3 linked regions of the Macaca mulatta genome follow. The protein of the gene in region 1 interacts with the protein of each later gene in a pairwise test. Links are inferred from orthologs where the notes say so. Each region holds a gene or a part of one and is shown on either strand. Other genes may lie near its edges.

Region 1 (3,745 bases):
GTCTATCACAAACTAATGGCTTAGTTTGGAATCAACATATTGTATATTCTACATCTGAAGATTTAGAAATCACAGTTTTTTTCTATTCAGGTCAATTGAAGTATACATGCTACCTCATTCTTTCAGTCCCCCTTATCTGTGTGAATGACCAACAGCAAAAATTTCAAATAAATGGTTAGAGGACATACCATAAAATTATACACTATCAATGTGGTTTTCAGTTATCATAGAATCTAAAGGTCCCTTACTGATGATAGGTGGCAGATTCAATAATTGATAAGTTTGGGGAATATATTCAACTCTCAACAGTTGAAATAGAAATTATGCCAATTTCTTTATTTTAAAAATCCGTTACACTAAAAAAATTGTCACATAAGAATTATTGAAGAAATTAACAAGGAAGTACAAAATATGTGATCTTAAATTCTTCTAGTGTGTTATTAAATATTAAAAACTGTGAGAAATATATTGCAATCCTTTTCTTTTTAACTCTAATTGAAATTTGAAAAAAATTTAGAATTCAAATTTCCCAACTTTGACTTAGAAACATAATTCAACTAGATCAAGCAACTTAATTGTACAATTTTAAAATAAGTTTAATGCAAAGCACTGCAATCCTGATGTGATAATTACCTGCAGCATAAATGCAAAATAATAAATGCATTTAATGATGCATTTTATGGTAAAACCACAAAAAGCACAACCATATTAGCACAAACTAAACAAAAAGACACAGGCGGTATTACGTCCATCAGAATGAGAAATGTCGTACTAAGCCAAGAAAGAAAGGAAGGACTTAAGGAAGGAAGGAGGGAGGATAGGAAGGAAGGAAGAGGGAAGGAAGGAAGAGGGAAGCCAGAGGTTTCTATACCTGCAGGATCCCAGAGAAATGAGCTAGTCACATCACTCTACCCTATATGATACATGGGTGATTTTTTTTAAGCTTCAGTGTAAATAAAAGCAGTAATCACTTTATACCATTCAACTTTACACAGTGTTATCTTTAATGCCAACTGCATTCTTCCCTTTACTCACCCAATGCTTCTTCACTGTTCCATTCCACCAGCTTTCAGGCAAATGCAAGACAGAACAGGGTGGAGTAGAAGAAAAATACAAGCAGCGCCTTTCCGCGCACCCCCTCTCCCGCAAATAATTTCCAACAGTTCTTCCTACTACGAAAATAAGTCGCCCTATCTCAAGATACACAGCAGACATTCCGTCTCTTTAGTAGACATACACAGACGCGTACACAATCCAGCACTCCCGACCCCCACCCCAGGCCCCCCCGAATCTTCAGCAATTATTCATCTAATCACACGAAGACAAGATACCTCTACCTACGGTTTCGGGGTGAAGGTGGGTGGAGGACGCCTTTCAAAGTAGCCCCAATAGTGTAACCAAAACACGGTTCCGGAATAAAATATTAAGAAACACTTTTCCTTTCCCACCTATCTACCGACTTGAGGATGCAAAAAACCCATCTCCACATCACACCATCTCTACAGTTCTCGTGGCTGGAGTTTGGGGTGGAGATTCGTCCAGGGGAGGGGGCGGAGGCGAGTGGCGGAGTGTGAGCGGGCGACGGGACACGAGCGAGTTGCTAAGCCCGGCTGCCCCGCACCACGTCGCCAGCCCAAATGCCCAGCACCAGGACCTCACGCCCGCCCCTCAGCCCAGGCCCAGAGCGAGCGAGGACTCGCGCTGTCTAACTTCTCATCTACAGACACCGCTCCAAAACAAGCAGAGCACACAAGTACACGTCACACAGTTTAAACACACTTCCACACCCCAAACAAACCAACACACCTGCAAATCACCTCACAGTTTCTCGAACTCCACACCAGAGACCCCACCTCCAGGATTCAAACCTTCCGCTCGTAGTAGAGGAAACCAGAAGAGTTGGGGGGCAGTCGACGCCTTTCCAGGACCGGCCCCCACGAACTGCCCCACCCCACAGCCCGCGTCTGGATCACCCACTCGGAAGCCCCCTGCTTCCTCCCTCCTCTCAATCCGGCCGCTAACGAGACCCATCCCCAGCGTCCGCTCACTTCCTCCCCAAAACCCCTCCAAAAAAAATTGTTTTAAATGAAGAGAAAGAAGTGAGGAAAGAGACTTGAGGTTGTCCGGCTTCAAAACCGCTCGACTCACCTCAGAATCCTCGCTGAGTTCTCTCCGCCCGGCAGAGCCCCCTCCCCAACGTCCCAGTACGAAGGGCTGAGGTAGGGAGGAGGGAAAACGGGAGGGGGAGGGGTGTCTTCCGCGTGGGGCGCCCGTCGGGAGGGGACTGGGGAGGGGTTGAGGCCGGCGCAGGAAGAGGAGAAGGGGGAGGGGAGGCCCCTATCTCCCAGTCTCCCCCTGAAAAACCTCCCTTGTCTCAATCACATCAGACTGACTGTCTTTGTCTGGCTGACAACCGCCATATTGATATCAACAGCCCCGCTCCCACCTGCTGCCGCCCGGCGTCCCTGGGAGTTGTAGTTCCTGCCTCCCCCGAGTAAAAGCGCGGAGCCCGGCGCCTAGAGGCCCAAGAGAACTACAACTCCCGGCAAGCCCCGTGCCCATCCGCCTTCCCTTTGGGAGGAGGGGAAAGGGGACCCGGAGCCGTCGGGACTACACATCCCAGAACACCATGGGCTCCAGGCGCGTAATGGGGACATGATATCATGCTGGGGTGGAGAGGGCGGCGGGGATGAATTTGAGCTGACGGAAGGAGGCGTCCGCAGAGGAAACGGAGGAAAAGGAAAGGCGACCACAGTTCCCATGGTGCCTGGAGGGGAGACTACATTTCCTATGATTCCCCTGGAAGGGACGTGAGAATGAAAGACTGCAAGTCCCGCGATGCTCTGGGCTGGCAGGTGGCGGAGATTGCACCGGAAGACGCTTCCTGCGTTTGAGGAGTTCAGTGACTGCTATTGAACCACCAAAAGTCCATTATGAAACTGGTGAGTCTTCGCTCCTAGGTCAGAGGGCAAAGTTGATGCTATATCCTTTTGGACCTCTTTTTTTCCTACTTTGGGCAGGGAATCGTCACACAGGAGGGGTAGCAATTAAGTAGCTGGAAAGTGGAGTGGGCTAAAGAAAGCTGCTTTTTGTTGTTAAGAAGGCTTGAATTCCCTCTCCCGCCCCCCTATCCCTCCCAGGAGGTCTTCTTTCACTCGTTGGTGGGTCTTTTTGTTCAGACAAGACGTTGACTCGGTCACAGTCCTTCCCCTATGAACTCTGTGGGCTCTGTTAACCAGGTTTGGACGTCCTGGCTCCCACGTTAGGGTTATAATAGGCTGTTAACAACCCCTTTCCATTCGACTGGCGCTTGAGTAGCCTGTCTCCCTACTGTTGTTGAAACTTTGGCTAGATTTAAGCAGACAGTAAAAAAAACATTCGGCAGAACGTAATCACTTATTAAATATCCTGTTGTATAGACTCCTCACTGCCCTTGGTATTAAGGACGAGGTCAGAGTGTGGAGAAGTTGAGTCTTAAACCCTAACTGGGATTTAGATGGGGAGAGAAGTGTTATATGGTATTCCATTCTAAGACTGTAGGGACTGCATGAGCCAAGTCTGGATGAAGTGTGCCGGTATACCTGAAGTCTTAACATCACACAACTCAAGCACCTGGCTCATAGAGACTTCTCAAACCTTTGATTTGAGCCATTTGACTCATTGTGCATACAGGTCTGACTAGTTTATTCCAACTCGATTCAATTAGTAATAACATAGTGTAGAAAGGCAGGTGTGAAACTCTCTT
Region 2 (3,625 bases), on another chromosome or scaffold:
GGAGCCACTGCCAGCTTCAGCCACTTCACCTTGTGGGGTCTGGAGACCATCCCTGGCCCGGATGCCAAAGTGCGTGGGGCCCTAACTTGGCCCAGTCTTGCGGCAGCGGTGAGTAGATGAGGAGTTCCGTCTTGTCCCCGGGTGGATGGGCTGTGGAGCACAATTGGGCAGACGAAGCCTGGAGGATTCTACTGGGTAGTGCGTGGGAAGCGTAGCTCCCCGACCACTCTTCCTAGCCATGTCTAGAAGGGGTTATTCTGAACAGCTGGGTCCTTCCCCGGGTCTGGGGGCCAGCCTGCCGCCCTGCCTTACAAGTCCAACAGTAGAGGCGACTCCTCTTGCAGATTCACGCACAGGTGCCCGAGGACTGAGAACCAGAGCTTGAAATTCAAAGCTGCGATCCCTTCACAGCAGTAAACCAGCTCTTTGGAACCACTGATTCCATCACCCCAATAAAGGAGCTCTTTACAGCACCTGTGAGTCCGGGCACCTTAGAGCCCCTAAGCCAGCATGGACCCCTCTCCCCCAAGAACCTTGCATGGCTCTGGCATATAGAAACAATTTATTGCCGTGGGCAATGGGGATAAGAGAAGCCAGAATTTTTTGCAGCCAGCACCCACCCCACCCCCAACTTCTACTTTACAAAAGAAATTTTTACAACCACCAGCCCTCTGTACAGAGCTCCCCCACCCCCCATCTCACTGTACACAGCTGCCTGGCTCCCTCTGATCCCTGGTTCAGAGCAGGCCTGGGCCTGTGGCCAGCTGACCTTGGAGTTAGCCTGAGCCCTGAGCTCGCCTTGGTGCCGGGCACCAATGGGCCCTGCCAGGCCTGTCCCCTCCTTTTCGAGCTTTTCAGCCCCATCTCCCTTAGAGTGCTTTGTGGGAGCTGCAGTGAGGGCGGGGTGGGCTATCAGCCCCAGTCCTGCTGTCTTAGCACTGCAGTGGGCAGTGCCTGGTCACCACTTCCCCCTCTTGCTCCAGTCCTTGGGAGTGAAGTGCAGACACTTGGAGTCAATCCGCAGGAGCCGCTTGAGCATAGCCCGCTCATGGCCATCCACGATGTCCTCTGACAGTGTGAGGATGTACTGGCCCTGGGCAGAGGAGATGGGTTCAGCAAGTGGCCAGCGGACAGGGGCCTGCACTCTGCATCCCACACACCTGTCTCCACCCTGCCTGCCTCCCTACCTTGTAGTAGTTGATGAGATTGAGGTACTGCAGAGTGGAGATGACATCCTCCTTCTTGATGCTGGTGATTTCACTGATCTCACTGTAGGAGAGCAAAGGTCAGGTCCCCTGAGGACCTTCATCTGTCCCCAGGAGCCCCAGGAGAGAGTGAGAAAGCCCAGGAACAGACAGGCCATGCCATGTACCCCCAGGTAGGCAGCGCCAGGCTCACTTGATGGTGATCTGTGGCCTCTCCCCGCTCTCTGACTTCAGCCCCATCAGGATCTCCAGGATGGTCTGGGACCAGTAACTTCGATAGGATAGGAGGCCAAGGTCTGAGAGGGGCTTCTCAGGGGTCCCTGTTTTCCCTTCCACTTTGGAGAGTTCATAGCCTAAAGCAATGGAGCAGGAGAGGGTGAGTAAGAGGTCATAGATGAACATAAGCAACATTTAAAAACACAGGTCGCCAAGGCAGGCTGCCTAGTTCCCATCATGGCCCTGCCACTTGGCAGTTCTGTGGCCTCCGCCTCTCTGCGCCTCAGTTCCCTCAGGAAGAACTAACGAGTATTCACTCTTCCCCTGGGAGTTGAGCACAGTGGAGGGCATGAGAGCACTGAGAGGAGCAGCTGCAGTCAACCACGAGGGTGATCAGAGGCCAGTGAAGGCTTATGGGCAGGGGATGCAGGGAAAATGGCTCAGGGGAAGAAAGTGCCTCCAATTTTCCTTTGCCATCCCAGGCTCCATGTCTGGGCATGTAAGGAAGGAAGTGGGGACAGATTCCTGTCTCTAATCCAGGCCTGAGAATGCTTGAATTCTCAGTCAAATCAGTCCTCCTAGCTGGGATCTTGGGAGTGTCAGCTGCTGTTAAGACCTGAGTGGCCTGACTGGGTGGTTGTGAGGATGCAAGGAGAAAAGGTGCACCAAAGTGCTTCCCAAGTTGGGGAGACCATTCCTGAGAGCCAGGTGACTGACCCCCACCATGGCTGTTTCCCTCCAACTCCTGCTGATAGCTGCGCACTGGGAGGCAGTCCCCAGTGAGATCCTGGCCCTGCACAGCCCTGAGTGGCTTCACATCTCTTGGGCAGTGTCTTCATTCTCCCCACCAGGGACCTGGGATGTTTGTGACTTCTAGAAGCCCTTCCTCACCCTCACAATGGACCTTAGCCCCTTGGTAGTCCCACCCACATCCCATCTCCATTGCAGTCTGAGCTCCAAGACTGAGTTTCTTCAAGCATCCACTTGTGCTACCAGGCTGAGAAGTTCTGAGGATGTGACCCCATCTGGGCATCACTTAACCAATACATTTCTCGAATGGACCATAACCTTGATCAAGTAAAGCCTCTGTGTCTTCACCAGGCAAACAGCTAGAACTTCCTCTTCTTTTCTCAGGTCAGAGCTTAGTTATTCCAAGTGAGTGGTGAGATAGAATGCGGGGTGATGGGGAAGAGGCTGAGAAGGAGAAGGAGCCTCAGGGTTGGGGAGGGCACTGAAGAGCTCATGTGTGATGAAGGTCAGAGTCCCTTCTGGCTTTAAGAGACTGACCTCACTGGACACGAGGAGCAAGGGAGAATTCCATGCTTACGTGTATCTGTTGACAGCATTTTGGACACCTGCCTGCACGGCTCAGGCGACAACTGGGGACATTAACCACTGGTCCTTGCCCAAGGACTTGTATCATGTGACACCGGTTACCAGATACATGAGCACCAGCGGCTCACTAACCTGCCCATGGCTCCAGGCAGGAGCATGTAAGTCAGATTTGGGGAAAGCTGAGTGGCACTTAGAACCCTGGCCAAGGAGCAAACTGTGGGGCTGAGAACCTACCCCAGATAAGCAGGGCAGTCAGCCTGAATGGAGAGAACTCTGGGAGAGTGCCACTGTTATTTCTGGCTGGCTCCCCTAGAGACCGGGCTGCACAGCCACGGTTGAGAATCACGGTAGCCTGGCACATCTGCCTATGGGGCACCGATGATGGGTGCACTACCCCCTGGCTGCAGCACACATACTCACTGAACTCGATCAGCAGCTTGCCGTAGCCCCGGCGCTGGTAGGGAGGCAGGGTTAGGATGCAGGCCACATTGTAGTCTTCTGTCGATTCTTTCTCCTGGAAAAGGGGGGCAGGTGAGTGTCAGGGAAGGGACCTGGCTCAGGATAGGGCACAGGGACAGCCTGGACAGGCACTGACCTTGGAGAAGTAGCCCACGATGTGGAAGCCCTTACAGTCATACTCCGTCATGACGTAGAAGAGGAAAGGGTCTGTGTCATAGTACAGTGTCTTATGGTCAAGGAAACACTTGGCCAAAAGACACAGGTTCTGGGAATAACTCTGCAAGAGAAAAGGCTTGTCACCATTCTGGGTATCCTGCCTTGAGCCTGGCCAGTGGTTCAGGGTCAACCAGGAGCTTCACTGTTTGTGCTATGCCCCAGACTGATAGGTGATGAGTATTCTTCCCTGGCTG
Region 3 (3,715 bases), about 120 Mb from region 1:
TTCTCAAGCAACACAACCCACCCTCCTGGCCTAGCCCACTCCTGAAGCCTCACTCAGTCTCACCTCAGCCCCTACGCAATTCCTCTCGGTTGTCAGGCCTCCATCGGCGGGGGTCGAGTGTTGTGTGTGACCCCAGGTCTCCAGCAAGGTATAGTGGGAGGGAAGCATCCGGGAGAAGAGAGGTGGATTGGGCTCTCCCTCTCCCCCATACCGCCACCCTCCCTCACGCCCATATCCTGTCCAAGGCTCTTCCCGCGTCTGCTTCTGAAATCCCTCCACATCCCTCCACCCCATGTGCCCCACTCGTTGCACAGGAGCAGAGAGAACCGCAGAACACACGTCTACGATTATGCCACTCTTCAGATTTACATCTTGCAGCAACTTCCCACTGCGTTAGAACGGAAGTAAACCTCCCAACTCACAGACCTCACCCGAGCCCCCACGTCCCGCGTCGCCGGCCTCTCAACCGACGGTGCCCTGATCCTCTCGGAGCGAGCGCCGCGGGCTGCGCCGGGTCCCAGGCCTGCGCCTCTTCCCCATTTCCCAGGGGTCTTTGCCGACCACCCTCCTGCGCCACAGCTGCTCAAGTTCTGTTTACTTGCTTTTCCCTCCCCACCAAAAGGTGAGCCTTGAGAAGACACACCCTTGTGTAGAGCTTTGAACTTTTATCCGGAAAGGTGCCGGGCACATAGTCGGTGCCCGGGAGCACTTGCTCACAAGGTTCCTTCCGAGACCGCCCTGCAGCCTCTTTCCGGATCCCCCAGGCACCCCCGACCCCGGCCTCGCCCCACCCTACCCTCGCCCCAGCCCCGCCCTGCCCTCGCCCCAGCCCCCCCCTGCCCTCGCCCCAGCCCCGCCCCGACCCTGTCTCAGCTTCGCCTCGGCTTCATCCCGCCCCAGCCTCGCCCAGCCCCTCCTCTCCCCTCCCCGCCCGTCCCCTTCCCGCCCCCGCCCCGCCTAGCCCCGCCCCAGCCCCGTCCCAGCTTCGCCTGAGCCAGGTCCCAGCCCCGTCCCACCATCGCCGCGCCCCAGCTTCATCCCGCCCCAGCCTCGCCCCTTCCTCTCAGGGCCCCCGCGCCCCGCCCCGCCCCGCCCCGCCCCGCCCGCGACCCTGCGGAACCTAGAGTCGCAGGCGCCCTCTTGGAGGACGGAATTCGACGTCGGACTCCGCCTCGCGTAGTTCCGGTGGCGACTGCGGAGCATGGCGGTGAGCGGTGTGGAGAAGACGCGCGGGTGGCTGGGCGTCGCACTGTCGGTGGCCCTCCGTGACCCTCGTGCTGCCCCCCTTTCTCCAGGCCCTAGGACATCTTGCCGGGGAGGCAGCGGCGGCCCCAGGCCCGGGTACTCCCTGCGCGTCCCGCAGACACCGGCTTCCCGGCCTGGTTTCCAGCGTCCGGAATCCCTCCACTGTCTGTCTCTGCCCAGGGCAACCCACGAGCAGTAACGCCGACACCAGAGCGCACCCGTTAGGCGATGAAGGCAGTGCAGCGTCGAAAAAACAAAAGAATAAGAAGAAAACCCGGAACAGGGCCTCTGTGGCAAATGGAGGCGAGAAGGCCTCAGAGAAACCCGCCCCAGAAGAAGTGCCCCTAAGCGCTGAGGCCCAGGCAAGGGCGGGCGTCATTCAGGAAGGGTGGAATCCCCTAGTGCGAATCCACGGGCACATGTGATCTGGGGTCCGCAGAGTTAAGGCGGGGAGGGGGATGGGATGGGGCCAGGCGCAGTTTTGTGTCCCAGTGCCCTCTCACAGCCACTTCCCCAAATCCCTCACAGGCGCAGCAGTTGGCCCAGGAATTGGCTTGGTGTGTGGAACAACTGGAGCTTGGCCTCAAGAGGCAGAAACCCACCCCAAAACAGAGTAAGGGACCTTTCTATAGAGTTGGGGAATGTGAACAGTGGCACCGCCTGGCCTGCAGGTGCTGGCAGAGGTGAAGTTGTTTCCTTTGCGGTGGGGCGGTAGGAGGTCAGTAGTAGAGGTTTTCACTAGTCCTTTGTTTTTATTCGCAGAAGAGCAGGCTATTGGAGCAATCCGAACCCTGCGCAGCAAAAGAACGCCCCTGCCCCGGAAGAGGCAGTTGATGCACTCCTTGTTTGGAGACTATAGGGCTCAGATGGAAGCCGAATGGCGTGAGGCCCTGCGGGCTCTCAGATCTGGTGAGGAGCTAGTAACTGGTTGATTTAGGAAGGCCTAATTTAAGGAGGAAGTGCCTAGGGGGTGAAAGGAAGAAGGCCCAGAGCAACAAGGCTGGTGGGGGAAGGAGATGAGCTCAGGGAAGCCTGAGGGAACAGGGAAAGAGTAAGGATGGACCTGTCTCTCCTTTTCCCAGGACTGAACCTGGGAAGCAGCGGGGAGGTCATGGGAGGAGCGGGAAAGAGTGTGACCCTGTGTTGGTCCTGCTCCTGGCTTGGGGAAAGCTGCGTTATGTCTTTGTGTCTTGGCTCTCTCTACTGGCAACGAAGCCATATCCCATAACAGTTTGAGTGCAATTCCTGGAGCCAGATGAGCTAGGTTCAAATCCTGGATCTACCACATAGTAGTACTAACACCTTTTGCAAACTACTGAACCTCTCTAAATGGGCGGTGATAGTAATATCAACCTTACAAATTTGAGGAATTAGTTAATTTATTCAAAGTGGTTAGAATTGTATGGGCAAACATAACTGTACAGGTAATGTTAGCTGTTGTTATTCAGTTCTCACATACGCTGCTTCTCTCCCCTGACAGCTGCTTATTTAGCCCAGGTGCAGCCTGTAGATGGAGCCACCAGAAAGAAGAGCCGAAGGGTCTGCAGGCCTCGCCCTATAGGGCGAGCCAAAGCCACTCTGGACACTCCTGATGAAGAGTTTAGGTTCAATTTCTTTTAGCTTCTCCCCTGACCTGGAACATTCCCCCTCCCTTGGGGTGGTGTAGGGGTTTGTTTTGAGTGCAGAGCCTTTTCAGGACTTCTGTTGGGAGAGAACCCTGGGGTTGGTCTGTCCCTGGCTGGTCCAAGTATTTGGAGCTGTTGTGAAGGTGTGAGACCATCAGATAGGCAAAAGACCCCATTTGTTTTGTGATGAAATGTTCTCTCTTTCAGAACAGAGAGAGAGGTGCGTTTAGAAAATGTACAATAAATTGAAGTGACTGTTTGAAGTATTGTAGAAAGAATATTGTACTCAGTCTTTAGGATTAGATTAAGTGGCTGTTGGTAACAAAGATTAGTGGAGAAGCTATATAATTATACACTGTTTTTCACTTTTGAAAGGAATTCCTGTCAAATGGTTTAGTGCTTAATGCTGTTATGTCACATTGCCCTAGTCTTTATTTTTGATAAAATTGGATAACGAGTGAAAGAGTGTGCTGACCAGCTGTGTTAGAGGAAGTACAGAAGACGGCAGGGGTCTGGTTCCCTGGGTCCAGTCCCTTGCCTCGATCCTTTGTCCATGTTGCCTTCATTCCTGAGCAGGTGTCATCCTCAGGGAACCAGCATGGCAGCCACCAGGCATGGCTGTCTTCTCAGGAGGAAGGAGCTTCTTGCCCTAACAGTTCTGGCCTGAGACCTGGATTGAGCCTCGGCATGTTGGAACCGAACTGTTGATTCCCTCCTGGGCAGGGGTTGCCGCGAAGGATTACCGACACGAGATTCACAGCAGAGAGTTATCTATTACTAGCGCGCTAGGGTCCCAAGCTCTAAGTTGGCCCTGGGACCCCGACTGCTTGTTACAGGTTGTTTAT

Evidence for each region.
Region 2: the proteins of HMBOX1 (region 1) and KAT5 interact in binary tests that used the Homo sapiens proteins (3 or more experiments, as listed by UniProt). The two-hybrid records come from large-scale screens. The link is inferred for Macaca mulatta from reciprocal best matches to the Homo sapiens genes HMBOX1 and KAT5.
Region 3: the proteins of HMBOX1 (region 1) and C8H8orf33 interact in binary tests that used the Homo sapiens proteins (3 or more experiments, as listed by UniProt). The two-hybrid records come from large-scale screens. The link is inferred for Macaca mulatta from reciprocal best matches to the Homo sapiens genes HMBOX1 and C8orf33.

The regions. Positions count from the first base shown.
Region 1 is NC_133413.1:30,643,701-30,647,445, reverse strand, and holds the start of HMBOX1 (homeobox-containing protein 1), read right to left. Parts: upstream 2,433-3,745; 5' UTR 2,149-2,432; intron 1,758-2,148; exon of another isoform or gene 1,342-1,757; intron 1-1,341. Other genes in the region: INTS9 (integrator complex subunit 9), read left to right, coding at 2,934-2,942. UniProt on the Homo sapiens protein: Binds directly to 5'-TTAGGG-3' repeats in telomeric DNA. Associates with the telomerase complex at sites of active telomere processing and positively regulates telomere elongation.
Region 2 is NC_133419.1:8,673,688-8,677,312, forward strand, and holds the end of KAT5 (histone acetyltransferase KAT5), read right to left. Parts: intron 3,493-3,625; coding exon 3,352-3,492; intron 3,271-3,351; coding exon 3,177-3,270; intron 2,528-3,176; exon of another isoform or gene 1,559-2,527; coding exon 1,399-1,558; exon of another isoform or gene 1,270-1,398; coding exon 1,188-1,269; exon of another isoform or gene 1,094-1,187; coding exon 959-1,093; 3' UTR 546-958; downstream 1-545. Other genes in the region: RNASEH2C (ribonuclease H2 subunit C), read left to right, coding at 1-108, 345-371. UniProt on the Homo sapiens protein: Catalytic subunit of the NuA4 histone acetyltransferase complex, a multiprotein complex involved in transcriptional activation of select genes principally by acetylation of nucleosomal histones H2A and H4.
Region 3 is NC_133413.1:155,452,379-155,456,093, forward strand, and holds C8H8orf33 (UPF0488 protein C8orf33), read left to right. Parts: upstream 1-1,178; 5' UTR 1,179-1,201; coding exon 1,202-1,207; intron 1,208-1,295; coding exon 1,296-1,646; intron 1,647-1,773; coding exon 1,774-1,858; intron 1,859-2,007; coding exon 2,008-2,154; intron 2,155-2,725; coding exon 2,726-2,865; 3' UTR 2,866-3,130; downstream 3,131-3,715.